4 linked regions of the Diceros bicornis minor genome follow. Each later gene encodes a partner of the first gene's protein in a complex. Links are inferred from orthologs where the notes say so. Each region holds a gene or a part of one and is shown in the gene's direction. Other genes may lie near its edges. The genes, in order: PPP4R3B, serine/threonine-protein phosphatase 4 regulatory subunit 2, PPP4C and PPP4R4.

Region 1 (6,993 bases):
CTGGGATTGATGGAAACCAGAATGGGTTCAACTGAGGAATGAGTAGGCAGTGAGGAAATGAAGGGAGTATAAACAATTTCAACCCTTGAATAGTTTGGCTATAAGAAGGAAAAGAAATAGGAATGCAGCTGAAGAGGATAAAAGTTATCAGTTTTGATGGTTTATTTAAATAGAGAAATCTTAAAGATCTATCACCTTAAGGAAAAAAATGAGTGAATATAGCAAAAAACGTTCATAACAGTTCTTTCATAAAAACATCTAACAGAATTGGGAAAGGTGAAAGAAAGCCTCACATTTCAAGGACATGAGTCAATTAGACTGAGAACCCAGGTTACCCTGCAGAGATTAACAATATTTTTTTTTAAACTTGCAAGAATTAAAAAGTGTAATGTGCCCTTATGGGACATTTGGTAGTGATGGGAGATAATTTTGGTTGTCACACCTGGAGAAGGGGGTGCAATACTACTGGCATCTGATGGGTAGAAGCCCGGGATACTGCTAAACATCCTGTAATGTACAGGATAGCCTCTCATAACAAAGAATCATCCAGTCCAAAATGTTAATGGTGCCAAGGCTGCAAAACCCTGCTTCAGGAATTTAACCTACAAATATACTGGCACACATGAAATAACTTCTGTACAATCATTTATTTTTGAAACTGCTGGAAATGACACAAATATACATAAATAGGAGATGGTTTAAATAAACTAGTATACATCTGTACAACAGTATGTATAGTATTGCATTATTTGTGTTTTAAAAAAAGGTAGTAATGTAAGTATTATATATATATATATATATATATATATATATATACACACACACACACGCACACACACATCAACTCTTGGAGTGGAACTTTGATGACTGCCTGAAGAAAAGAAGCTTTGCTGGGGAAAACACATTGTTGCAGTGCAGTACTGCCCTCAGACCCAAGTGAAGTGCTGGGCCCTGTGTTTCAGCAGGCCCTCTGTCCATGCTTCTCTCCATGAGGTGATAAGTCCATGGAACCCAGTCTCCCCTTTCTAGACCATGCTCTGGGCACCCTGGAATTCCCTGCCCCAAAGGCCAAGCCTGCTTCCAGGGTCTGCACAGTCCTCTTCTCAAGTTCTGTCCTCACGTGGAGTGGCCAGGGGGTAACTACATTCACGGAGTGCAGACAGGGCTTGGACAGAAAGCTGGGGTATTATATGTGTGCACATAAGGGCTGCTAAAGTACAGGACAGAGCTGAGGTAGAAGAAGAAAAGGAAGGCAGGCTAAGGACTCTGGGGCCCAGAGGGAGATTCTAGAACTCTGAGGAGTTCAAGAACACTAGATTTGAATCTGGCTTCCAGGTCATTATGAAAATATATTTGTCAAAGTATACCCAAGGTAGGAGAAGAAAATATATTTTATTCCAGTTTGTTAGCTTGATTTAAAACTTTTAAATATTTTAGACTTATGGTATATGGTCTTCCATTTGTATGCCTGTCCTGAGCCTTGCAAATATCCAGCCCTACAAATGTTACAGGTGGGCCTGTGGCAGTAGAAGAGATGTGAGAGTGAATCGCTGTGGCCTAGGGGAAGAAGAAAACAAGGGAGAACGTGTGCCTGAGGATCCAGCAATGGGGAGAGATGAGTCCTATGGGTTTAACTCTGTTCTCTTTTTCTCTAGGTCACCAGATCTTAGGGGGTATACCAGAAGAGATACTGAAGAAAAGATAGGAGGGATGCTTTGAAACCTTAGATCATTTCACTCCTTAGTTCAAAACTCTCCAGTGGATTTGCAACTCATTCAAAGTAAAATCCAAGGCTCTTCAAAATAGCCTCTCCCCCACTCCCAACCTTATTTCCCACCATTTTCCCCTTTCTCACTCCAATTCAATCACACTGGTTTCCTTGCTAACCCTTTCACTCACTCAACATGCTACAGTCTCAAGGCTTTTGTACTCGCTGTTCCCACTTCCTGGCTCTCTCTTCCTCTGGGGAAATGCTTGGCTGACTGACTGCCTCTCTCACAGAGGACTTCCTCAATACACATCATTACCCTTCCCAAACTCACTCTCTAACCTTTTGCTGCTCTATTTTCGGTCACAACATTTATCAGTACCAGGCATGTATTTGTTTATTGTCTATCTACACTAGAATGTAAGCTCCATGAGAAGAGGGACTTTTTCTATTTTACTCACTGTATAGAACAGTGCCTAGCACATAGTATATGCTCAACAAATATTTATTGAATGATTGAATAAATACAGGAAATGACTCATTTCACAATTTTGTCCAGAGTTAGATCTATTTGTAGGATATTAACCTCTTAACGTGTATAGTGTTAAAGTGACTTCTGCATAGTTCTCATTCTTTTAACTTATAAGTTCTTTTAGGCCAGTAACACATTATGACTTTGTTCACCCTGTCCCCTCAGCCTTGAAAACCTTTGCACGCCAAACTCCCACTCGATCTCTAACATCAAACTCAAAAGTTATGTATGTGAAGCTTTCCCTGATCTGAGACAGAAATATTATTTTTCTCTGGGCTCAAAATGCATTTTGTCCACATCAATTACATCAATTAACGGGCTCTATTGTTATGTATATTATAACTACTTAATTCAAGTACATTTTCTGAGGTCCTCTTTAGATTTAAAAAAATTCTATGTATCCCGAATTTGAAATTAGAATCTATTTTTTATCAGGCGCCTGCTCTGTGTAAGCCATTATCTCACGTTACATGTACCGCTGAAGGGTGTCCATGCATAAGACCTGGTCAAAACATAAGCACGTTTTGACCAGACCAGTAATAAGTAACGACTACAACTCCCAAGATACGCTGCAGGATCAACGTGTGCATCTCGCCTGGTTTTCACCTTTCAGGGTGTAAGAACTGGCGGGTGACCAAGCTGAGACCGTCTTAAAGAATAAATAAAACGATTCTACCAAGAACAAAAGAGGAATGAAATGAACGACTGTCCAACGCACGACCTGTATCCACCGCGCCATGTCTGACAACGTGAATGCCGAGAGAATTCTTCCTTCGCTTATTCAGCGCCGAAGACCTCCCGAAAGATAACGCAAGAAATGCTCGCAAGAGAAACTCAAGACTATCAAAACAATGCTCTTAGAGATGTTAGGAAAGCAGCTTCCCGCCACCTCCCTAAACTTATCTGAAGACTTATTTTCGAGGCTACAAACACGGGAAGGGCACTGTATTTTCATAAAACGGAAAGTATGCTTTTCAACGGCCAGCTACCAAAAGCCTAACGGTGAAACGCCTTCGCGGGAAATAGGAAATGGTCAACACACTTCTGTACGACGTTATAATCGCCTGGAGATGCATAGAACACTTCCTGAGGAGATGCTTAACTGTAAGAGACTCCATAACGAGTTTTAGTGGGTTCAGGTCGCTTTAAAGGGCTTCAAGTTCCTATGTCTTCACAGAAAGAGGTTTAAGACTATTTTTCTCCCACAGGCTGATAGAGTGAGCTTCTATTAAGGAACGCGAGCACATTTCCTTCCTTTTTGCACAAGGTTAGTCCCGTCCAAGGACGCATACCTCCCAGGTTTGCTTTGCTTTTTCCTCAGAGCTGGGTCCCACGGGTCGCCCCACGCCGAGCGCTAGCAGCCACCTCATGAAGCACGATCCACGACTCAGCTACCGCAGCCCGCATAGACAGGAATCTCGCGGCACCAGAGGGACGCGGAGCTCGCGAGAACCGCCCACTTGGCCGAGATCCCGCGCCAGCAGGCGGGGCCGAGAGAGGAGGAAATCGCACTTAGGCCCTCCCATCACAGTCCAGTACCCCGCCTCGCGAAAACGCCGAGCACAGCCGGGCCGGGAAGCGCGTGCAGAAGTGGAGGCGTCGCGCGTTGGACTCGTCGGCCGCCGTAGCCCCTGCTAGGACAGCCCGTGCGAGCCTGCTGGAGGAGGAAGAGAAAGGCAGAGAGAATCGGGTTACAAGATGGCGGATCTGTAGTAGTTACCGCGGCGGCGGCGGCGGCGGCGGGAGAGCGAGCGAGCTCCGGGGGGGCGAAGGGAGGGGAGAGTGGTTGTGTGCGGAGGTGAAGTGAGAGGTAACCGGGACTCTGGGCGGAGAGGTCTCGGTAGCTCTCGTTGCCCCTTCCCGCGGCTGAACCTTGAGAGCCATGGTGAACTCGGGCCTCTCCGGAGCCGCCGCCGCTGCCGCCGCCACCGCTCCGGTCTCTCAGGAGTGAGGGGTACGGACGAGGTGAGCGAGGAGGCGGCGGCTGGAGCGGTCAGGACAGCAGCCACCATGTCGGATACGCGGCGGCGAGTGAAGGTCTATACCCTGAACGAAGACCGGCAATGGGACGACCGAGGCACCGGGCACGTCTCCTCCACTTATGTGGAGGAGCTCAAGGGGATGTCGCTCCTGGTTCGGGCAGAGTCCGACGGTAAGGTTATTGGAACGGTAGGATAGGGGACAGTGCCTCCGGTTAGGGCACAGCCCTGGGGTTTAGGCCCTGGGCCGAGTACTGTTACTACCATGTCTTGGGACAGCGCAGTGATTTTGTGCCTGCACTTCTGTACGGTAAAAAGAAACTACTTGCCCGGATTAACCCTCAGTCCGATGCCGATTCTCCGTTCCCCCGCCTCCTATCCCTGTTAAGGATTTGACCCCTTCCTCTCCAGTCTCTTCTTTTGAAGAGGATAGTGTGAAAGAGAAGGAAGTAATGAGAGACAAGGTAGTGATCTACTGGTCCGAGGGAGCTGATCCCTTCCCTTTTTTTTTAAAATTTTCTTAGCCATATTTATATATATGTCTGGTACAGAAGGTTTAGTGGAACTTGCCTGAGTTTTTTTTTTTTAACTTTTTACCAACGAGCCCCAGTTGCCACAGTCGACAGGTGCTGGGGAAAAGCAAAAGGCATCTTTTTCTGGGGTTATTGCAGACTGTTACCACGATACGTGCACGCACAAGCATATACACATCTTTAGTGTGGGATCCCTCCAGGCTGTTTTCGTAGAGAGTGCTGTGAAAAAGTGGATACTTCACAACCTAAACAAGTTAGGACACCAAAGCAGATTGTAAACTTGTATTCGTTGATTTATTGTACGAGTCATATGTAAAGTATTTTTAAATTATAAAATATAGAGCTGTAATTAAAACATTTTTCTCATTGTAATTGGAATGCCTCGATTTGAGCAACTATGTGCAGATAATAGAAAAATAACAATCTTAGATTTATTCTTGACGTATTTGTACTCTTGCACTTTCCTTTTTATTTTAAACAGTCATGGACATTTATTACTACATGAGATGTCCTACCTTCTGTTGTTAAGGAAAAAAAGATAAAACGCAGTTCTGTAGTTTGTGTACTAAGTACTTAGACCCCTGTTGTGGTCCTTTGTAATTTGTTTTATTTGTTAAACTGGAATGCAATAAAATAACTTGGCTAAAAAGAGTTTGGCCTCAAGTGGTTGTTTAGACCTTAAAATTTTCGTTTCAATAAAACTTTAATAGTCATTTAGTCTCCTTATATTCTTGGTCTGAATGTTGGTCTTAGATGGATTTTTTCCTTTAAGGGGGTATGGGGATAGGATGATACCTTCTAAATTAAATGTGAAGCCCAGATCTGGAGAGAAAAATGTGAGTTCGAATATATTTGATACTTCAGATGTCTGGCTGGGTGAAGGGAACATAAGTTTTTTTTGGTTTGGTTTTTTTTTTTAATGTGGATTCTGATTTTTTATTCGGGATTTTATCAATTAAAACTTACAAATACTGTTTTTTATCTTTCAGGATCACTACTCTTGGAATCAAAGATAAATCCAAACACTGCATATCAGAAACAACAGGCAAGTAGTTGTTTATCTTTAATTTGAAAGACTTCATCTGTGATCAAGGAAGTATTAATCTGACAAAGATGGGAAGGCTTTCCTGACAAGAAAAAACATGTTTGGTAAACAAAGTTACAGACCATATGTATTTCCCTTGCACGTTAAAAGTTTCAAACTGAAGAGTGAAAGTTTTTTGTACTGGCAGTAATTTATTATCTTTGAAATGAGCCTATGTTAGTTTGTATTAGAATACAATGTATTAATTAGTCTTATTTAACTACAGTTAGCCAGATCTCTTCTATACCCTGTACACTAAGCCTTTTATTCTCGATCACATTTAGAGGAAATGGCATAAAAGAAAATTCAAAGAGGTACTCTTAAAATCAAGGAAAGCCTGTTTGTGATGTGAAATTAGATCCTTTGGCTGAAGCAAAGGTCGAGTTTTTGAAGTAGAAGCATTTAAATCCTGTTCTTTAATTGTGTATTTTTAATATAATAATCAGTGGATACTTTACAAAAGTGTACATTGCCGGTTATGTAATGTTTTCTGTTAATATTTATTGTCTTGGGGAAAAAAACCTGTGTTGTGTTTTAACATGCCTAATTATTTAATCTGGAAATGGCAGCAGTGATTCACCCTTTCTTTATTATGTGAATGTTTTCATTTTTATTATGAAAGATTTCAAAATTGAAAAGTACAGAGAAAAATCTGATGAATGTCCTTGTAACACGACTAAGTTTAACAATGTTAACATTATACCATATTTGCTTCAAAGTTTTGTGTAATGTTGAACGTTGTGGATAGAGTTAAAGACCCCTCTGTACCCATCTCATTATATCCATTCTGCATCCTCCCTGTTGGTAACCACTATTCTGAAGTTGATGTGTATTATTTCTGTACATGCTTTTATACCTTCTCTGCATATGTATGTATCCATAAATATGTAGTCTTTTGTGTGTTTTTAAACTTTGCACAATTGATCTAGACTCTTACATGTATTTCTGCAACTTTCATTTTTCACTCAATGTTATTTTGAAGATTTCTTTGTGTTAACAATGTAGATCTAGTTGATATTTTTTTAAACACTGTATAGTATTCTGATATATGATATATACCTGTTAGATATTTGGATTATTTTCAGTTTTTTGTGTGTGTGGTGTGTAAAGTGAATATGGCAGAGATTTTTAAAGGAAAAGATAAATTTTAGGATTAT
Region 2 (7,299 bases), on another chromosome or scaffold:
AAGTCATCCAGCTCGGCAGTACTCCTCTTTGCCAGCCTCCTCTCCTAACACTGCTCTTCGGCTCAACACGGCCACCAGCAGCAATCACACGGTTGTGGCACCACAGGAAGCAACCCAGAGTCTTTCAGAACAGATCCTTTGTTACCCTTATTTCCAATAAAAATGTGTTAGCTTTGGAGAGTCTCTAGAAAAAAGTTAACCCTGATGATACGTGAAACTACCCTCTTAACTGTTTAGAAAATTGTTTCCCCTTATTTTGTCCACCTTCCTACCTCAGCTTCATCTTGATACCCACTACGACATATAAATAAGGTCCAAAAGGCATGAGTAAAAGGCCATGAGAATCAAAGAGCCTCCAGGGCCGGCCCTGTGGCTTAGCGGTTAAGTGCGCACGCTCCACTGCTGGCGGCCCGGGTTCGGACCCGGGCACTCACAGACGCACGGCTTCTCCACCGTGCTGAGGCCGCGTCCCACATACAGCAACTAGAAGGACGTGCAGCTGTGACATGCAACTATCTACTGGGGCTTTGGCGGGAAAAAATAAATAAATAAAATCTTCAAAGAGCCTCCAAGGCTTTCTGTAGTGGTGTTTTAACCCGGCCTGTTCCCTGTCCTCCAATCCTTGTAGACGGAGTGTGAGTTTTTCTAGACTTTTCCTCAATCCCCTCTTCATGTCCCTTCCCACAGCCTCATCCCCGAGGCATGGTCAGACTCCAGTAATTCTCCCTGGGGTTATAAGAAGATCCTCAAGCATTTTCTCTGACATGGTCCCAGCTGTTTTCTCTCTCTCACTTCTCTTTCTGTTTCCATCTTCCACCTCCTACTCTGTGTTTTCTCAAGTTCGGGCTTTTTCCCTCTTGCATATTCCTGGAGCAATGAGCCCGTCTTCCACATTGATGTGTGGTTTACGTTTATTTAAGGTCCATCTCCTCCATCAGACCATGAGCTCCGTAGGGGAAATAGAGTCTAGTTACATCTTCTCCCTACACCCAGGAGGCCCTCAACGACTGTTCGCCTGGTTAATACCATTCCCTCTGCCTGGAAGTCTCTTCCCTGTAGGTGCAAACTTTTTCCAGTCTTTAAGCAAGGCCTTTCTAAAGAGCAACTTCTATCCCTGCCTGGAAGAGATTTCGAAGGCCTCTGACCACCCAGTTCGCATACACTCCTTCTACTTTGCATCAGAATCTATGCTCTGATATACCAAACTATACTTTTACAGCGTACTCTTATCTCTCCCGGTAGTTTGCAACCTTCTTGAGGACAAGAAAGTGTTTGGGGGCTTTGAAGTCAGTCCAGGTCTGAAACATGGGTCAGTCACTTGCTTGTGTAGTTGTGTGACCATGGGCAAGTTAGTTCACCTCTTTATACCTCAATTTTCCCTTCTGTTAAGTGGGATAATAATATCACCTATCTCATAGGATTTTTGCTAGGATTACACTGGCTATTTTTGTAACAGAGAATACTTAATAAATGTTAGCTGTTACTATTAATATTCTCATTTGTCGCATTAGTTATCTATTGCTGTGTAACAAATTATCCCAGAATTTGGAAACTTAGAACAATTATAAACATTTGTCATCTTTCATAGTTTCTGTGGATCAGGAATTGAGGAGCAGCTTAGATGGGTGGTTCTGGCTTGGGATCCCTCATAAGGTTGTGGTCCAGATGCCAGCTGGGGCTGCAGTCATCTGAAGGATTTCTGTAGGCTGAAGGACCCACTTCTAACGCCTCGGTTCTTCTCCATTGGGACCTTTCCCCAGGGCTGCTCTAATGTTCTCATGACATGGCAGATGGCTTCCTCTAGAGCCAGCAATCCAAGAGCCCAAGGCAGATGCCAAAGCATATTTTACGACCCAGCCTCAGAAGTGAAACACCATTCCCTCTGCCACACTCCTACTGGTCACACAGGCCAGCTCTGATTCAGTGTGGGAGGAGACTACACTAGGGCGTGAATCCCAGGAGACAGCACAATTGGGGCAATCTCAGAGGCTGGCTGTCACATTTACATTCTGTTTTCTTCCAAAGGGATTAGTATCAGTGAGAGGCTCTAGCAACCACAGACATTGTGATGCATGCTGCCTAGAGAATTCCAAGGAAGGAGAAAGAAATGAACCGCAGAAATAATTCTTCACCCTCATCTCTTGCCACTTCTGCCCTTGCACTCTCAGCTCAATTCAGACTGAATTTCTTATGGCTCTTCAGAACCCACCTGGCTCTTCTCTCTCATTTCAAGGCCTGTGCACTGATGGTTTTCCTGTATGAAAGCTCCTCTTGGCTACCTTCCTCTCATAATTCGGGTCTCAGCTTAAATACCTACTTCCTCCAGGGAAACTTTCTCTGATCCCCCAGGCTGCTGCTGCTGTGTGTACTTTGTCTCCTGTCATGGACTTTTCCAGTGTTTAGAAGTTGAGGCAACCCCAAGTGAGGGGAACAGTTGATGAAAACAGACAAAGCAAGGTGAAAGAAATTAGCATGGTATATTGTCTAACAGAAAGTTCCAAAAGAACTTTTTGCAATAGTGGAATTTTCTTTATCCATGCTATATAATATGGAAGCCGCTAGCCACCTGTGGCTATCAAGTACTGGAAATGTGGCTAGTGTGACCGAGGGACTGAATTTTACTGAAGAACTCAGGAACTGAATTATAAATTTTATTTAATTTTAATTAATTCAAATTTAAATACCCACACATGGCTAGTGCCAACTGTATTGTCCCTCACAGCTCTTGCAGGAAGAGGCCTGCCTGAATAGAGGACAGGGTGGCAGGGAGAAGTGGAGACTAAGCTTTGCTGTGTAGAGAGTAGGCCCCTTCAGATCAGAAGGGACCAGATAAACTAAATCTATGGTGAGTGCTGGCCAAGTGTTTGATGATGACACTCCCTTATACCCCCCTGCAAGTCTATTTGTAATTGAGCTGGATGCTCTGAACAATGGAAGAGTTTCAAGACACAGGGGACTGGTTCTCTGATGGCAAAATTGAGAGAAGTATTTTGTGTGGGGGCAGCTTTTGCCTACCTCTGCCACGTGGGGTCAGGGTTAGGGTCAGGGTCAGGGCCATCGTCTTTTAAGAGAGTCAACAGTTGCAACAGCTTGTGTCCAAATCTGCACCTTCTAAGACAAGAAAAGAAATAGTCTTTCCTCCCTCCCTTCCTTCCTTCCTTGTGCTAGGCTTTGAGAGGAGAAGGTGGAACAAGTTAAGATCTTTTCCTTGAAAAGCTCACAGACAAGAGAAGACAATAAAAATGTCCACACGCTGGCTGGGAGCCAGATGTTCTGGGTTCTGGTGCTGTTTTCCAGGCTAGCTCTCTACGCCTCAGCTATCCTATTGGTAAAAATGCCAGGCCTGGAGAGGACTTCCGAGGTCCCCGCCCTCTCTAACTTCCTGGGCGCTTACGCAATGTCATCAGAATCATGATAATAAAAACAACAGCCACGCTAACTGAGTGCTTACAAGTTCTAGTTGTCGTTAGTGCCGTGGAATCGACTCCGACTCCGAGTGACCCAGCATACAGCAGATGAGAACCCTGCCCGGGCTTGTTTAAGGCCATCCTGTCACCTGTGGCGCTGTATCAGACAGTGTGCTAAATGCTTCATATTCTCCATTTCACTCAAGCCTCACGGCTGTTTTACAAATCCCCACTTTGTAGATGAGAAAACTGAGGCTCCATGAGTTTAAATAACTAGTCCAGGGTCACACAGAGAGTAAATAGTTGAGTTGGGCTTTGAATCTAGCTGGGTCCAATCCCTAAGCTTTTAATCCCTTTGCTGTATGCATTGCTTCTCTTCAAGGGTGAGTCAGTGACGAACGCTGGGTTCAGGCAGGGAGGTATTCTTGTTTCGATTGTTAGTAATACCGACTGTTTGTTTACGCACACTCGGACCGCTGTGTGTACACACGCTCATTTAATTCTCACAGCAACTAACAGGGTGGTCGGTACTAGATTGTAGAGATGGGGAAATTAAGGCTCAGAGAGGCTCAGTAAATTGCTCAAGGTCACACAGCCAGCAAAAAACAGGCACTCAAAGCCAGGGGTCTACCTCCAGCCCCTTGCCTTGACGACTCGGTCTCCAGCACCGCGCAGGCACGGCGGCGGCCACCAGCAAGGGAGCGGCCACCAGCAAGGGAGCGGCCGGCGCCTGCCGAGTCTCGGTCGGCCCTAGGGGCACGCCTCCGCCGCGCACGCGCTCTCGGGCTCCGGGTCGGGGCGCGCGGCGGGCGCGAGGACGGCGGCGGGGAGCGTGCGCGCGGTGACGTGCCGGGCGCCATGTTGGAGGGCTGGTGGTAGCGGCTCGGGGAGGTGCTCGCTCTCTCGGTCTCGCTCTCTCTCGCTCGCTTCCCCCGGCTCCCTTCGGTGCCCCCCCCGGTCGCCTGCGTGACGGAGTGTGTGCGAGGGAGGGGGAGGGCGTCGGGGGGGTGGGGGGAGGCGTTCCGGTGCCCGGGAGACCCGCGGAGGGAGGCGGAGGCTGCGAGGGACTCCGGGAAGCCATGGACGTCGAGAGGCTGCAGGAGGCGCTGAAAGGTGGGGGTAGCTGCCCCCTCTCCCTTTCTCCACCCCGCGCGGCCCTCTCCCCTCTCCCTTCGGGGCGGGTGCCTCCGAAGGCCGGGGCCGGGCGCGGGCGGCGCGCTTCCCCGGCTCCCATCCCCCCTCCCGCCTCCCCAGGGGCGGGGAGCCCTGTGGGCAGCTCCCTCCCGCCCCGCTCTGGGCTTTGTGTCGGCCGCCGGCGTCTGGGCTGGGGGAGGGGAGCCGGGGACGCTCTCGCCGGGGCCCCAGCCCCTCTCCCACCCCTCCGGGTGCAGGTCTCGGGCCCGCAGCCCGCTCCCCGGCGGGCTCGGTTCCCCGGCAGGCCCCCGCCCGCCAGGCGTCGGGGGGAGAGAAAAAAGTAAAAGGTCGGGGGCGGAGGGGGCGGCAGAGCAACTTTGAAGTGTCTCGGGAAGCGTTTTGCGGGGCTTCTGAAGTCATCTTTCCACGCGCCCTCCTTCTAAGTGGTCGCCCTCGCTGCTCTTGATCGGTCGCCTTCTAAGCAACAGGCTTGGGAACAGCGTTCTCAAACTTAGAATAGCGTGGTTTCAGCGTTTCGAGAATTGTGTTTTGACATCCAGAGTCATTTGGGGACGGCTACAGGCGGTAGCTGGTGTTTCTTAAACGCAGATTTATGAACCTTCCTTAGATAAACAATTTGTGGGGGTGGGGGCCTGGGATTAGTTTTTTAACCAGCTTCCCGGGTGAATCTGATGCTGGTGTGCCCCCGGACTGCACTTTGAGAAACACTGCCTTAAGGATGGTTTGTGGAGAAGTTGAGTGCCCCCTTTAGGAGGATTCTTGTTACCTGTGAAGAGGGTGACATGTTGGAAGTTGAATTTGGGAGAGTCAAGGTGGTTATTTGGTTGAGAGGCTAATTTTTTTTTTTTATTGTTAATGTGAGGAAGGACTGGGAGGAAAGTTTGTTTGTAGAGGGCATTGGAGATGGTCGATGGACTTTGAGAAATACTGATAACTTTTCTTTCTTCTCTTATCTAGATTTTGAGAAGAGAGGGAAAAAGGAAGTTTGTCCGGTCCTGGATCAGTTTCTTTGTCATGTAGCCAAGACTGGAGAAACAATGTGAGTTGAAAACATGTATTCGTTGTTATAGACCTATGTATCATTCAGAATTGCTTAGGAAAGGGAAAAAAGTGTTTTTCAGAAGAATTGAAGAATCCATCTAGCTGAACTGTACAAGTTCAGTTCAGTCATTTAAAACATTTACTAAGTGCATACACTTTATTTACTTTATGCATGCTCTGTAATGAATTTTTAAAATTTGTTAAGTTTTTCTTTATAGCTAAGCCTTGGTACTTTTAGAAGTTACTGGTCTAAAAGAGCCGGAGAAAGGAAGAATGCCTACTCCCATTATAACCCTTTTTGGCCATAACAGGCTTATTCCCAGAATTTTGTGGCTTTGATTCTGTTTCAGATTCTTTTGTTGCCGGTATTTTCTCATATTGTCCTGTATCCAGCCCTTTGTTGTCATATTTATGTATGTGGGTGTTTGAAGTGTCACTTCTGTTTATTCTCTTGAGGACTCAGGGTGATTATCTGACAAATTCCAGATGCTACAGTTTTGACTGTCCTGTAAACTTTCTAGGATAGCTAACTTGTTACATGTGCTCAGCATTTTGTTAGGCTTGTTTCCAAGTGTTGTGAATTTGAAACTTATACTATGAAGTTAGGACTGTTTTCAAAAGAACGTTCCAGTTTGATATGTGAGTAGTTTGTGTGGCAGGAGCTGTTTTCACACTTTGGCTAAGTTGATTTGTAGAGAGCAGTGCAGATTTGGTAACTTCCTTTTAGTCTTTTCTTTGGGTACGGAGTGCGAGTGCGGAGCAGGAAGGGGAAAGGTTTCTTTGGCTGCGGTGTTAATAAGTGGGCTTCCTTTTGGCTCCCCTACTTCTTGCCTATTTTAAAATTCATTTTGAGGCCCAATATAAGAGTGGAAGCTTCAGCAAGTGATGTATACTTTCTTTCACTATTAGCAAATGTTCATTTCTCACAAGATTTGCTTATGGTTGTAATGTAGCCTTCTAATAATTAGCCTAATTTTAGAAAGGAAAAAAAACTTATTTAATGGTCGTGTAGACAAGCTGAACTTCCTTAATGCATTATTAAGATTACCAGTCAACTTGAGAATGTGACTGTGATCTGTTCAATCTTATATTTATTACATTTTAAAAATGGAACCCTTTAGGGGGAAAAAAGTCATTTTTGCCTCTGAATTATAGTCTCTTAGAACATCTTGATTTTTAAAAATTGATGCAAAATAACTGGTATTTATGTAAATAAGCTTAAAAATGACTAGATGCCAGCTTTCAAAAATAATTCCTAAATCATAAATGCTTAGATTGCCACTATTTCTTTTGAAATGCTAGTTGGTCCAAACTTACCCCTCTCAAGAATATCAAGAGGAAAAGCATTTTACTTTCAGAATTTTGGATACATAAAATTATATTAAACTATCTGGGGATAGATACTTAAAAGCTCTTCTCTTATTTAGCTTATCAGGTCTGTATAAACTGCCTTTCCTTTATGATGAAATATATTGTCTATAAATGTATAAATAGTTGAAAGTTTCCAAAAGAAAGCTTTTTAAAATTCTGTCTAACTGGATCACCAAGTGGCTAGGGAAATTTAACCTGATGTTTCTGGGAAGTTATTTTATCCTGATAGAGAACTTAAACTAGCTCCTCCTCCCTCCGGTTAGGTGCTTGTCCATTTTATTTCAAATGTTTTGTATTAAAATGATTGGTGGTGGTAGATTCTTTA
Region 3 (6,987 bases), on another chromosome or scaffold:
GGGGGCAGAGTGGGACTAGAGAGGAGAAGAGGGTACTAGAGATGATTTCTCCTGTTTTATGTTGTTGTCCTCACCCCAACAGGTAGACAAGGGCGTGGTACCCCTGGCAGGAACAAACGGCGAGACGACCACCCAAGGTGAGAACTGTTTGGCTCCCTGCCTTACCAACCAACCCACCCAGGTCGGTACCCCTTGGGTAACCAGGGTGAGTGGGAGCCACCTGCCCCCTCCTCTGCCATGCTCTGACTCCTCCGTCCCCTCTCCAGGGCTGGATGGGCTGTCTGAGCGCTGTGCCCAGTACAAGAAGGATGGAGCAGACTTTGCCAAGTGGCGCTGTGTGCTGAAGATTGGGGAGCACACTCCCTCATCTCTTGCCATCATGGAAAATGCCAACGTTCTGGCCCGTTATGCCAGCATCTGCCAGCAGGTGGGCCTGCAGGTCCCCAACAGGCCACCTCCCACCTCATTTTGTTCCAGAATGTCAGCTAGCCTGCCACACATCTCCCAGCATCCCTCTCTCCCTCACTTGAGGGCTTTGTAAGCAGAGGGCAGAACAGGGATTGTGTGGATGGATCTGAAGAGAAGGCTCTCGCCCACAGTCTGCTGAGGACTGTGCAGCTATGAGTCTCCGTCATCATGGAGATAAGATCTTGGCTGATGGCTGTAGAGAGCTGTAGGTGGGGCTCCGGGTTAGGAAGCCTCATGGCTACCCTGTCTTTCACCCCACAGAATGGCATCGTGCCCATCGTGGAGCCTGAGATCCTCCCTGATGGGGACCATGACTTGAAGCGCTGTCAGTATGTAACCGAGAAGGTAGGTTGTCTGGCTCCCTGGGCAGTGTGTGGTGGGCTGACCCGTCCCCCGACTCTAACCTACCCACTTTGGTCCTGCCCTGCGCTAGGTGCTGGCTGCTGTTTACAAGGCTCTGAGTGACCACCACATCTACCTGGAAGGCACCTTGCTGAAGCCCAATATGGTAACCCCAGGCCACGCCTGCACCCACAAATATTCTCACGAGGAGATTGCCATGGCAACTGTCACAGCATTGCGCCGCACAGTGCCCCCCGCTGTCACTGGTGAGACCCACACCCTCGTCTTGACCTCTGGGAGGTAGATGAACTGTACCCACAATCCTTGTGCCCACTTGGTCTGATTTCCAGGCCAGCTTCTAGGGGCTCCTACCAGCCAGTCTGCTGGATCTCTGACTACAATCCCTCCCCCCATTTCACCCCTCGCTATACAGGGATCACCTTCCTATCTGGAGGCCAGAGTGAGGAGGAGGCATCCATCAACCTCAACGCCATCAACAAGTGCCCCCTGCTGAAGCCATGGGCCCTGACCTTCTCCTATGGCCGAGCCCTGCAGGCCTCTGCCCTGAAGGCCTGGGGTGGAAAGAAGGAGAACCTAAAGGCTGCCCAGGAGGAATATGTCAAGCGAGCCCTGGTGAGGATGGCGCAGGAGGTGGGCAGGGTGGCCGGGTGGACGGGGTTCTGAGAAGAGACCTTCTTACTCTCGCTCCTTTCTCCTCTTAGGCCAACAGCCTCGCCTGCCAAGGAAAGTACACCCCAAGTGGTCAGGCCGGGGCTGCAGCCAGCGAGTCCCTTTTCATCTCTAACCATGCCTACTAAGTGGAGGTATTCTAAGGCTACCCCCTCAACACTCCAGGCCCGCCCCCTCCCACACTCATTCTTGAACAGGGGGCCTCATCCAGGGCTCTAGGCTACTTTTTCCCATCATTCTTGCCTCCCTGGTGACATTGGTGTGTGGTATTGTCTGTGTATGCTAACTCCATCGCCCTTTCCAGCCCACTGCCAATAAACAACTATTTAAGGGGGAGTCTGCTGTCCATTTCTGTGGTGTCCAGGGCAGGGGAGGGCCAGGGGAGGTGGCAGAGCCCAGAAGAAAGAGCCCTTGTTTTGTGTTCTTCCTTCTTGGGCAGGAAAAAGGTGAAGGGGGTGGGATAGGACCTTCCTATCCCCCTTGTTTTATACTTGCCCAGGGTTTCAAGAGGAGAGCTTGTGAAATTTTCTTCCAGCCACCAACTGCTCCACCCCCTTCTACCAGCAGCATCTGATAAGGCTCACAGTTGGGAAGTGTGTCTGTAACTGCTAGTCATGAGGTTGCAGACTCAGCCTCACTTTTATGCCCAGAACTCACGGGTGCAGAAGGCCCCAGTGAGAAGAACAGCCACTGACAAAAGCCAAGATTTCCTGGGTTTATGTGTTCTATATAAGATAACATAAATGTTCTATATGAGAGGTGCTGTTACCCTCAATTTATCCTTAAGGTTACAGTGCACCGAGACTGCACTGTTTCTTGGTGGAAACAAGATTGTTAATGCATATCTCCTTAATCTACACTGTTGAGCTTGCCCGTCTTCCCATTTTAACAGGAGATAGGATCAGAACTGGCTTCTTAGTCTTTGGGAACTCCTTGAAGAACCTGGAATCCTCTCTAACACCCCCCTCAACAATGCAGATAGACATACGCACAGAACTGTGGAGCTCAGGTTCCAGGTTAACAACTGAGCCTCTGTAGCTGCTGCATTCCATGAAGCCAGAATGGGCCCTGCACTTAGACCCCTATGCCATACTTTGAACCCTTCCCCAATTGCCCAGGCTGGGGTATAGCAGCAACTACACCAGGTCTTTTCAGCTATTAAAAATCCTAGTCATAACCAGGGAATAGTCCTGCCACTTCCCAAATTTCCTGTTATGGGCCCTTTCCTGTCTGAGCTGCCTGCTAGAGAAAGAAAAATCTTGACCTTTCTGATCTGTGGACCCACTGAATCCCTGTAGTGATCTTCGTAGAAGTGACTTATCTAGGACTAGGAGTTCTAGTTCTAGGAGTTTAAGAACTTGGTCCTTTCCTTCTCTCTGCACATTTGCATCTGTTGCCTGCATCCAAAACCAAACCCATTCCCTGTGCCCCTCCAAACAGGCCTCACTTCTGTGCCTAGCCTTACTCCACTTGGTGAAACAAAATCTGAAGTAAAGCAAATAAAAATTGAAGGTCAATAGAAGATAGCAAAAAGCACATTCCAAAAGGGCTCAGACATCATGAAGTTTGCTTCAAGACCAATTGCTTCCCCTCCCTGCAGCAAAGAGACCAGGGAAGCAGAGGACTTCAAACCCCAATTGTGGGAGTTTGGGACTTATTTTATGACAAAGTGAGTTCCAGAAAGAGTAAGTGACGGAGGAGAAGCTGGAGCTGAGAACACAGCTTTCCTGGGTTCAAATTTCAACCTTGCTTCAAACCCAAAATTCTTAGCTATGCGACCATGAACAAGTTAAGATCTTTGAGCCAGTTTCCTCTTCAAAAAAGGAATAAAATTGCAGACTATGGGAAGCAACTGACGGGTGTCCAGGGGACCATTCTGGAATCAGAGAGGTCGTGTTGACTGAGCCATAGGCTTGGTGTGGGGAAGGTGGACTCCCTTCTGCCTCTAACTTCGGAGGTCCTCCATGGCAGGGATTTCTCTGGGACCACTTAAGAGACATGGTTTGGCTCTTTCCAAAACCATGGAAAGAGATTTGGACCGGGATTCCTTCATCCATTGAACAAATACCTATGTATGCCTACTGTGCCAGGCCTTGTTCTAAGCACTGGGGCCGCAAGCGTGAACCAGACAAAGTACCATCCCTCTGAGATTGTAATGGGGGAGGCCAACTAAACCAGGTAAACAAAAACGTGTAACAAAGCTACAAACCGGAGCGCCCGCTCGGCTTCAGTCTCCCTAACCGAGATGGGAGGGGACTGGAGCGTGGTTTCTAGCAGCCCTCACAGCGCCAATCGGCTTAGCCCACAGTCACTTCCGCCCGCACGCTACCGGCGACCGGCTCCTTCGCCTCGGAGCGCTCCCTGGGCTTGAGGGGTGGGGCTCAGGGCGCGGCGTGGGAGGGGTTGAGTATGACGCCACGTCCGGCGCGCGGCGGCACTGGTCCCCTTTGCTTCCGCGGCGGGGCCGGAAGTAGAAGCGGCGGTGGCGGCGGCCCAAAGCGGAGGAAAGGAGCAAGGCAGGAGCTCGAGAGCCGGAGCCGGAGCCGGAGCCGGAGCAGCAGCGGCGGTAATAGTCCGAGACTCCTCTAGGCCACCGTCCCTAGCGCGGGGCCGCGGGGCTCGCGGAGCTAGCCGGGGGGTAGCCAGTGCCATGGGACGCTGGGGGTCCGGGAGGCGCTGTGAGGGGCGGCGGGGGTCGGGGGAGCCGGGCTGGCTCCAGAATTGAGTTGCCCTCCCGTCCCGGCGCCCCCCACGGACACTGATCCGCGGGCTCGTCTTCGCCTTTCCCAGGAGACCCCTGTGCGGTGCGGAGGGGGCGGCGGCCCTGGCTCTAACCCGCGCCGGGGGTGGGCCATGGCGGAGATCAGCGACCTGGACCGGCAGATCGAGCAGCTGCGGCGCTGCGAGCTCATCAAGGAGAGCGAAGTCAAGGCCCTGTGCGCTAAGGCCAGGTGAGCCCGGCGGCCCCAGGGAAGGGAGGCCCGGCCGCTGTCCACGGGTTCCGGCCTGGGGCAAACCCAGCTGAGAACTTTGGGCCTGGCTCATTCTGGAAGCTTTCTCCGAGAGCAGCAGAATAGGGCCACTTTCCTCGAGGAACAACCAGCCTGCTGGGGGAAGAAAGACCTGGATAAGGACACTTAGAAGTATTAGATGATGTGTTTTCAGTGGAGTTAGAGCGTTGTAGAAAGTACGTAGGAAGCTTAGGGAAACAGCCTTATCTGTCGGGGGAACAGAGAAGGCTTCTCGGAGGAACTGAACTTTGGGGGTAGACTTGGAAGAATAATATGATAAAAGGGAATATCAGCAGGAACAAAGTTCAAGGCAGAAAAGCTAAAGACTCTGTGGTTTATAAAATTCTTTTAATTCCAACAACAACTCTTAAAGGTGGGTGGAATTGTCTCCATTTTACAGGTGAGGACTCTCATGTTCAGAGTCAACCAGCAAGTGAGGGACGGAGTCAGAAACTAGTTCTCCGTGTCCTGTCCCCTTTTCAGGCCGTTAAGGCAAGAAGGTGGAGTTGGATCACTCTCATGTTCATTGTGGGAGCCTAAGAAATGGTAGCAGCTAAGCCAGGGTGGAATTAAGCATGCTATGGAGAGAGGCCCAACTCATAGTTCTGTAGGAAGTAGGATGATGTCGTGGTTACGAGCCCAGGCTTTGGAATGTGATGGCTCTAGGTTGGAATCTGAGCTCTGTCAGTTATTAGCTGTGTTGGTGATCTTGAGGTCTCTGACACTCAGTTTCTTCATCTGTAAAGTGGGAATAGTAGCACTTAATAAGATGGTTGTGAAAGTCAGTAAGTTGGTGCTTGGGATTAGCAGAGAGCTTTGGTACAATGTGAGTGCTCGGCAGTCTTTAGGTGGTGGTGTTATTACTGCATGGAAAGAGGGCAATGCTGATATGAACTGAAGTCATCAGGGAAGACTTTTAAGAGAAGGTGGCCTTGAAAAATGAAAATAATTTGGGTAGCTGATGGGAGCAGGGCCAGTGAGGAGGGGCATTCCAGGCAGAGTGACAGTAAGAGTGGAGGCCCTGAGATGTGTGGGCACCAATGAGGAGACCAGTTACCTGCCTCCTTGGTGCTACTGCTTGACTGTGGCTTCCCCCAAGATGGGGAATTGTGGGAAAAGAGCCAGCAGGCTTACCCTGCATTTGTTGAACAACAGGCCCACTATTAGCCTGGCTTTGTACTGGCAAAGAACTTACGGTCGTTTCCTCCCCACAGCAATCTTGGGAGGTTGGGATTATTTACTCCATTTTACAGAACAGGAAGCCATGATTCCTACAGGCCTAGTGGCTTGACTAAGATCACCCAGAGAGAAAGTGGCAGGGCTGGGTTCTGGGCCTGTGGCTGTCAGAGGCTGCATGGGTTTGGTGAACAGGCAAGGCCCCTTTTTGAATGCTTGTCTGTGGCTCTTCTGTGTTTTGCCAGCCCAAGAAAACTTCCCTGACCAGACCCTAAGATGTTTTTAGTCATCCCTGATTACTCAGTCTTGATTGGCATTTTTAGGAACTTAAATCAGTTGCTGTCTGGCACTGTTCTGCCTAGCACTATTCTTTTTCCCCGTAAGTCTTATCTGCCCGCAGGCCTGGCTCAGTTTGGTGGTGGTGATAGCTAATGCTTAAATAGCACTGTGGAGATTTCAGAAAAACAGAGAGGTTATGTGTTCAGGCTTTGTTGCTCTTTGCACAGCCCTATGGAGTAGGCAGCGCAGGGTGAGGATTTCACAGAAGAGGAAACTGAGCCTCAGAGAAGATAATGTTTTGCCTGTAGTCTCACAGCTGGTTGGAGGGGAGGTTGGTTTTGGATCCAGGTCTTGCGCTATACTCCATGCTCATTGACAGCCAGGCAGAGACATTTAGACTGTGTGAGAGGCGGCAGGGAGCTGTAGAGGACTGAGGGCTAGGCGGGTCTTGCCCAGTTGAAGCTGAGATGGAGCCAGGAGGCACTAGGCTGGGGCCTGAGTTGGCCACCATTATCGCAGGCCCAGTCTGAAGGGGGGCCAACTCTAGCACCTGGCCATGGCCTTCTGGGGGACCCACCAGGAGTCCAGGCCAAGGCTGGTAGTGTCAGAGCTTCAGCTTGCTCAGAGGGTACGTAGACTCAAATCCTTGGAACTAGAGAGGCCTGAAGTGTGTGAGTTGAACTTGCTCCTGTTAAAGACGTCAGCATATGAGACGTGCAGAGGGTTTTGAATCAGGTGGCCTCCAGTATGAGTCCCGGCTTCGTCAGCTATAAACAATATGAGCCTGATCAAGTCACTTGATCTCTCCAAGTCTTTGAAATCATTATGGAGCTCAGATGAGATTCTGCATATCCAGGAACAGGGCCTGGCTCTTTTGTAGGCACTTCCTAAAGGTAATGCTCCTCGCGGAAGTCAAGGGGAGCAGGGGCGAGCCCTGAGAGGGCTGGTGATATGCTGCAAGGGACAGAGCTGGGGTCGGAGGCTGGGCCTTGTTCCCAGACCGCGCTGGGGCCCTACTGGC
Region 4 (6,832 bases), on another chromosome or scaffold:
GTTTCCTATTGCCTCTGTAACCAATTACCACCAATCTAGTGCCTTAAGACAACACAAATTTATTATCTTATAGTTCTGGAAGTTAGAACTGGGTTTCACTGGGCTAAAATCAAGGTGTCAGCAGGCTGCGTCCCATCTGGAGGCTCTAGGAAAGTTGTTTCTTTTTCTCCTTTTCCAGCTTGTAGAGGCTGCCCACTAGGGCCTCCTTTCATATTCAAAGCCAGCAACGGCCAGATACTCTCCCTACCTTAAAATCCTTAGATCAGTCACGTCTTCAAAGTCCCTTTTGCCAGGTAAGGTAACACAGTCACAGATTCAGGGGATTAGGATGGGCATCTTTGGGAGAGCACTATTCTGCCTCTCACAATAATCAATTGATCCAGCACAATTTGTTAAATCTTTTCTGAACCTGGGTACAGGGGGAACACTGGTCTGGTGGTAATGATAATAATAGAAAACACTGAACACTTGCTAGATGCCAGGTATTTCCTCTAAGCATTGTATGTACATTATCTCATTTAATTCTTACAACAAGACTTTGTGCTAAGTACTACTATTATTCCTGTCTTGAGTTGAGTAAAGAGAGGTTAAGTACCTTGCCCACAGTAGGAAGTAGCAGGGCTAGGATTCAAACCCAAGCAGGTGGGCTCCAAAGTCCATGCACTTAACCACTATGCTGCTGTTGAATGAATAAATCTAGCTTCCCTTAGCTGTGTCCTCAAGCCTAAGTCACATAACTTCTCTGAGCCTCAGTTTCATTACCTGTAAAATTGCAATAGTGGTGCAATTCTTCTGTACTTCACAGGGCTGCTTCAAGGGCACAAGGAGACAAGTTGCAAAAAAAGCACTTCAGATGTGGAAAATGGGGCTCGTTGTTCCACTGCATATCACTGGCGGAGCCAGGACTGGGCCTCAGGTTTCCTGGCAGCCAGGCTGGGGTGGGCTATTTCCACCACAGGCTGGTAACTATAGCAGTAACAGATCCCAGTCATCAAACTGAACATTTTCCCTTCATCAACCTCCTGGCCTATAACAGCCAACATCAGAGTTACATCTGTATATTCAATCAATTGCTCATTAAGAATGTCATCAAGTCTCAAATGATGCTGTTACAAAATCCAAATATGAAATAATACTTCTTAGCTGAAACAGGGTAAAGTTTACAAGTATTATTTAGTATCTGTTACAAATGAAGGGGAAAAGGAGGAGAATTCTGGAAATTGACATAAAGGGTAGGCTGCAAGGTATTTGCTAGGGAAAACCACCTCCCCCACATCTTTGCCTCTTCTCCATCCTCATCCCAGCAAGATCCACCCCTTTTGATTTTCCCTTCACACCTCCTTAGTGGAGCAGAGATCAGAAAGCCTGAATTTCAGCTTTGAGGTGACCCACGACTCTTTTTGCTTTGAACTCGAAGGCAATATGGGAAAAAAGAGAGCAAGAAGTGGGAAGATTCACTCTACCAGATATTAGGACATATAACAAAGCCGTAGCAATTAAATCAGCTCAGCCCTGATTCAGAAACAGACAGGTCTAGATCAATAGAACAGCAATGAGAGGCCAGAAACAGAGATGTGTGTCTGTGCAGACTTGACATAGGATACAGACGCCATGACACATCGGTGGGGAAAAGATGGATTGTTTGGTGGGTACTGCTGAGAAAACTGGCTTACTACGTAGAGAAAATAGTATTGTATTCCTACATGCACTATACGCGAGGTGAACTCTGGATGAATTAAGACCTAACTGTGATAGGTAAAAGTATGAAGCTAAACAGGGGAAAACATAGGAGAATATTTTGTGATCGTGGGAAGGAAAAGATTCTTCAACAAGACCCAAAAAGCACACTCCACAAGGGTAAAATTTGATGCATTTGGCTAAATCAAAATTAAGGATTTCCCCTACACTGTAGGATAGTGAAGACCAAGCTAACAGGATGCGTGAAAGATTGGGAGATATTTGCAATGTCCAAGACTGACAAGAGACTAATATTTAGAATATATATGAACCCCTTCAATTCATTCAGAAAAATAACAGGAAATCTAGGAGAAAAATAGGCAAAGGATGTAAATAGATAATTCTTGGAAGGAAAAAATCTCCATGGTTAAGTATAGGGAAAAATGGTTAACATCGCTAAACATTGAAGAAATACAAATGAAAATCACAGCATGATACTACTTTATCGATATCAAGTTGATAAAAATTAGGACATCAGATAATACCAAATGTTAGCCTCTAGAGTGGGGAAACAGGAATCTTTGTATCTTCATGTGCCATTGGTGGGAGTGCACATTGGCAAAGCCATTCTGGAGGGCCACATGGCAGAGTGAAACCAGGCACTGTGGACTTCGTGACCCAGCAATTCCGTTTCTTTCTTATGGTCCATAAGAGACACGTCTAATACTCATTCCAGCATTGTCTGTGGCAACGAGGAACTGCTGGCAACCTAACTGTCCATTATTTAAGGAATTGATAAGTCAAATGTGTTAGATGCACAAATCGAATACTATCAGTGGTCAGCATTAATGAACTCCTAGTATATACAGTCTCATGGGTAGATTTCTAAGGCATTATGTTGAGCGAAAAACAGGAAACAGAGTGAGTTCCTATCACAATAGCATTCATGTATATTAAAAATAGACAAACTAAAAACAATATCTTTCCAGGATATATACACGTACTGGGACATATCTTAAACACAATGAGAGAGGGTGCAAATGGAGGGTAAAGAAATGGGAGTGTGGAGAGAGAATGAGTGGAAAATAAAAAAAAAAGAGAGAGGACTTGCTGAATCTTACGAGCTCAAGAGTAGATCAACATAACTCTTGTCCCTGAGCTCCAAAAACTCGCCCCAATCCCCTTCCATCGCTTTCTCTTCTTAACAGAATCAAAAGCAAAGAACCCAACGTGGCTGCCCAGAACAGAGCCTTTCTCCATAAGTGCCCCGCCTCTTTCCCACCCACCTCGCCAAGCACTCGCTTCCAGCACTCCGAGCTCTACTCTTACTGCACGTCCCACAATCAGAACACGCCCAGGCTTCAATCCAAAATGACCTTACTCTTATTATCTCTCTCGGAAAACTCTTACTGATCACTTAAGATTCAGTTTAAGTATTTCCCCTCCAGGAGTCCTTTTCTGACCCCTGCCCTGCCCCAAATGCGAGCCCCTCCAGGACTGGATTCCCACACCCTCCATCCTCCATCCCCCGCCCCCCCCCCCCCCCGGCACACACCAGGTTGTAATTGTTTATTTTGGGTATACACCCCTCCCCCAGGGCTGGAGCTGAGCTAGGCTGGTCTCTGCGACAGCAGCTGTCGGGCTGAGGTGGGCAGTCCCACGAATAACTGGAAAGTTATTGTACCGGGTTAAACAAGACCACAGCCCACTCCGTCTCCTTTGCTTTCTCTCTCATTGGCTCAGTCTCTCCGCCCCCGACCCCCGCCCCCAGCCCGCCTCCACCGGCTGCGGGAGGTAGAAGGCTCTGCGCAGGCGCCGCAGGGTGGGGCGCGCTCTGCCGGGGGCGGGGCGAGTGGGACTTGAGGGCGGAGAGGGGCGGGGACAGAGGGGCGGTGGGGGCCGCCGCGACGTTGCGCGGCAGTTGCGTCCGGCCCGCGTGCGCGCGGCGCCCGGGAGGGGGCGGGGCTGAGGTGGGCACTGTGCCACCTCCCCCGCCCTGGCCCCGCCCCCCCAGCCCGCCCGCGCGCCTCGCCCCGCCCCCTCGCCTGCCCCGCCCCGCCCCCTCGGCGGCCGCGCTCCTTCTCCCGCCGCCCGCTCGCCTCCCGCCCGGCTCCCGCGGCCGAGAGCGGGAGAAAGTCCTGCTCGTGGGCGGCCGCGGGGCTGCACGCGTCCGGCATCCCGGGGCCGCTCCGGCCCGGGCGGCGAGGGGGCCCGGCGGTCCATGCATCCGCCGCCGCTCGCCGCCGCGATGGATTTCAGTCAGAACAGCCTGTTCGGCTACATGGAGGACCTGCAGGAGCTCACCATCATCGAGAGGCCGGTCCGCCGGAGCCTCAAGGTGCGCCCCGGGGAGGAGGAGCTGCCCGCAGGCGCCCGGCGGCCTGCCCGGGCCCCTACCCCCTCCCATGCCCTCCCCGAGGCGGCCCGGACCCCCTCAGAGTCGGGCTGGCCCCTCAGTCCTCCTCCAGTGCCCGGTCGGCGTGTCACCCTAAACCGGCTCCTCTCGGGGCCCCGTCTTCGACGCGACGCCGGTTCTCCCGGGCTGGACCCTCTCCCCTGACCCGGGGCCAGCCCCGCGGCCCCTCGGACGCCCTCGGCTCCCTAGTCGCCGGGCGCCTTCCCCAGCCCGCCCCCAGGAACGGCCGGCCCAGTGCCCCCCCCCCCGCGCCGCCCCGCCGGACGGCCGTGGCCCGTCTTTCTCCCGGCCCTGCAGGAGCTGCCCCGCAGCCGCAGCCCCGTATCCCGGGTCCTCGCCTCCCCCCATCCCCTTGGCCCCCTGGTGCTGCCCGGGTTCTGGCCCCCGTCCCACTCCTCGGTCAGCACGGCGCCGACTCCCCCCCTCTCCCCGAGACACCCCAGATCCCCTCCCCCCATGAGAGCAAGCCCCGGTGCCCCTGCCCTCAAGTCAGCCCCGGCCTCCCTTCCCCTCCCAACCAGCACCCGTGCTAGAGTCGTCCTGCTGCCGATCTTCAAAGCCCGCCCGACCCTTTGCCCCCATCCTGAGTCACCGCACGTCCTCTCCTCCCGGCCCCTCCGCGACTCTGGCTGGGACCCTGCACCCCACCCCCCTGGAGCGAGTCAGCCTTCACCAGCTCCCCCACCCCGCAGAGTCATCTGCCTCCCAGAGGCTCCAGCCCTCAGCGCTGGCAAACCTAGTTTGCGGACCCCCCAGCCATCCTCTTAGTAGCTCCTTGAGCTCTTCTCGCTCCCACCTGCCGCAATATCTCGAATCTTTGATTTCCTTCCAGCCCCAGAGTTTATTCCCTTCCCTCCCCCTACTCCAGATTTCGCCTTTTTCGTTCCCACTGGGCTGCATCTTCATCCATCCCCCCTTTTAGCATGTCCTGGAGTGGAAAATGCTGGAGCCTTGGGGTATAAGAGATAAAAAGTATGTATATATTTTATATATGCATATAAAATTGATTTCGGCAATATTCTGAAGCCACAATTGTGATTCTCAAGCTTCACTCTAGAAGCTAGAAGAGTAAAAAGAGAAAAAAAAAAATCCAGACCCCCAAAACTCTACCACCCAAACCCGACGATTAGAGACCTCTGTGGTTGAAGTCGCCTAGAGTCCTCAGACCCGTGGTTACTTTTCAATAATGCTTAATTGTGAAACTTCATTAGTCTAGACTCATACAGGGTCCCTGATGGATATTTATGTGCATGATTTGTGTTTTACACTTGACAGACACCAGAAGAAATAGAAAGACTGACAGTTGATGAAGACCTCAGTGATATTGAAAGGGCTGTGTATCTGCTCAGGTATTTCCTGAAGTCTTTCTGTGAAATTCCTGCTCTTTCTCTGTGGCAGCATCCATGAATGCTTTCTGAAATGTCATGTTATGGTTATGTTCAAATTTCCTTAACCACTTGAACAGAGTACTTTTGTCTGTGTAGCACTTAATTATGTTATAAATTAAGAACTAGACATAGACTTATAAATTTGAGAACCGAAATCAAATAACATACCTAACTTATAGAAGATTGTTTGGAGGAGGAGGAACAACAATTAATGTTTTGAGTTGAATCTCATTCTTTTTTTAAATTTTCCAGCTTTGGTTGTTCTCATATAATATCCAATAAGTTTAGATGAGACTTAAGAATATACAGTGATTAATTGTAAGTTAATTGTAGTGTATGAACCTTACATGCTATTTAGTGTATAGAAAAAGAAATCCACAAAGATGGTAGTTCAATTTGTTGCTCAGGATGTCCTGTTTATATTACTTTTGCAATGTGAGCTTTATAATTTTGCCTGAGCGATTTTAAAATTTCGTTGAGCCTACTCTGATTTAATTTTCGTATCACAAGCTCTATAGAATTGCTTAAGGCAAATGGTTATTGCAAATATTTACAAGATTTCTCTCAACTATTTGAAAAATTGTGTTGTGGATTTATGTTCTTAAAAGCTAATGTGGTGAACATTAAGGAACATATCTATGAAAATACTTAAGAAACAGAAATTCTCCTAAGGCATTTCGTGTACATTGGTTTTACAATTTTTCTTTAACTTGCATGTTTTTTCGCCTTTGGCAAGTTAGTTTTTGCTTTGGTTCTCAGAATCAGATTTTGAAAACTGGTGTTATTTCCCTCCTGGGATGTTTGTCATCTCTATTTCCTTAGCTCAAGTCTGCTTTGCCAGTTTCAGTTGCTGGCAAGTTTCTTGTTCTCCTTTCTTGTTTTATAGATCATGTTTCCAGTCCCCTGTTATTCATTGAATGATCCTGCGGAAAAAAAAATCTCCTCTCCGTGACTTCCATTTTCTTAATTATTCTGTAGCCTCTTAGTGGCATCTTCGGTTCTGTTATTATTTGAGTCAGAATTTTAGCATTCTTGCAATTTGGACCATTCTCTCCAGTAATTCTACCACTTGAAAATGTTTCTGGATCTTAGACTTTATGTTGATGTCATTTCCCCTCCTCTTTTGTTAATCTATGGTAGCATGCTCTCATCATTTCTACCTATTTATTTAAAAGAAAAACTATCTTATTTATGTGTAAATTAACGGTATGTGTTTTTGGTGTTTGCATAGAGAATAATCTAAGGTTTAACCTATTTTGACATTTTATTGTGTTATGTTTGAAGTACTTATTCCTCAATAATTAACATGTCCAGCATGGTGAACAATAATTGTAAACATATGCCTTTTCCC

The links.
Region 2: PPP4R3B (region 1) and serine/threonine-protein phosphatase 4 regulatory subunit 2 share a complex: the UniProt entries of both Homo sapiens proteins name them as parts of the PP4 complex. The link is inferred for Diceros bicornis minor from reciprocal best matches to the Homo sapiens genes PPP4R3B and PPP4R2.
Region 3: PPP4R3B (region 1) and PPP4C share a complex: the UniProt entries of both Homo sapiens proteins name them as parts of the PP4 complex. The link is inferred for Diceros bicornis minor from reciprocal best matches to the Homo sapiens genes PPP4R3B and PPP4C.
Region 4: PPP4R3B (region 1) and PPP4R4 share a complex: the UniProt entries of both Homo sapiens proteins name them as parts of the PP4 complex. The link is inferred for Diceros bicornis minor from reciprocal best matches to the Homo sapiens genes PPP4R3B and PPP4R4.

Annotation. Positions count from the first base shown.
Region 1 is NC_080751.1:30,880,995-30,887,987, forward strand, and holds the start of PPP4R3B (serine/threonine-protein phosphatase 4 regulatory subunit 3B), read left to right. Parts: upstream 1-3,987; 5' UTR 3,988-4,250; coding exon 4,251-4,392; intron 4,393-5,741; coding exon 5,742-5,797; intron 5,798-6,993. UniProt on the Homo sapiens protein: Regulatory subunit of serine/threonine-protein phosphatase 4 (PP4). May regulate the activity of PPP4C at centrosomal microtubule organizing centers.
Region 2 is NC_080741.1:71,096,887-71,104,185, forward strand, and holds the start of serine/threonine-protein phosphatase 4 regulatory subunit 2, read left to right. Parts: upstream 1-4,275; 5' UTR 4,276-4,486; coding exon 4,487-4,520; intron 4,521-5,057; exon of another isoform or gene 5,058-5,126; intron 5,127-5,177; exon of another isoform or gene 5,178-5,374; intron 5,375-5,519; coding exon 5,520-5,601; intron 5,602-7,299. UniProt on the Homo sapiens protein: Regulatory subunit of serine/threonine-protein phosphatase 4 (PP4). May regulate the activity of PPP4C at centrosomal microtubule organizing centers.
Region 3 is NC_080765.1:21,875,159-21,882,145, forward strand, and holds the start of PPP4C (serine/threonine-protein phosphatase 4 catalytic subunit), read left to right. Parts: upstream 1-3,977; 5' UTR 3,978-4,066; intron 4,067-4,290; 5' UTR 4,291-4,353; coding exon 4,354-4,451; intron 4,452-6,987. Other genes in the region: ALDOA (fructose-bisphosphate aldolase A), read left to right, coding at 83-137, 267-427, 730-813, 902-1,076, 1,244-1,443, 1,533-1,628. UniProt on the Homo sapiens protein: Protein phosphatase that is involved in many processes such as microtubule organization at centrosomes, maturation of spliceosomal snRNPs, apoptosis, DNA repair, tumor necrosis factor (TNF)-alpha signaling, activation of c-Jun N-terminal kinase MAPK8, regulation of histone acetylation, DNA damage checkpoint signaling, NF-kappa-B activation and cell migration.
Region 4 is NC_080763.1:39,886,241-39,893,072, reverse strand, and holds the start of PPP4R4 (serine/threonine-protein phosphatase 4 regulatory subunit 4), read left to right. Parts: upstream 1-3,816; 5' UTR 3,817-3,898; coding exon 3,899-4,015; intron 4,016-5,368; coding exon 5,369-5,442; intron 5,443-6,832. UniProt on the Homo sapiens protein: Putative regulatory subunit of serine/threonine-protein phosphatase 4.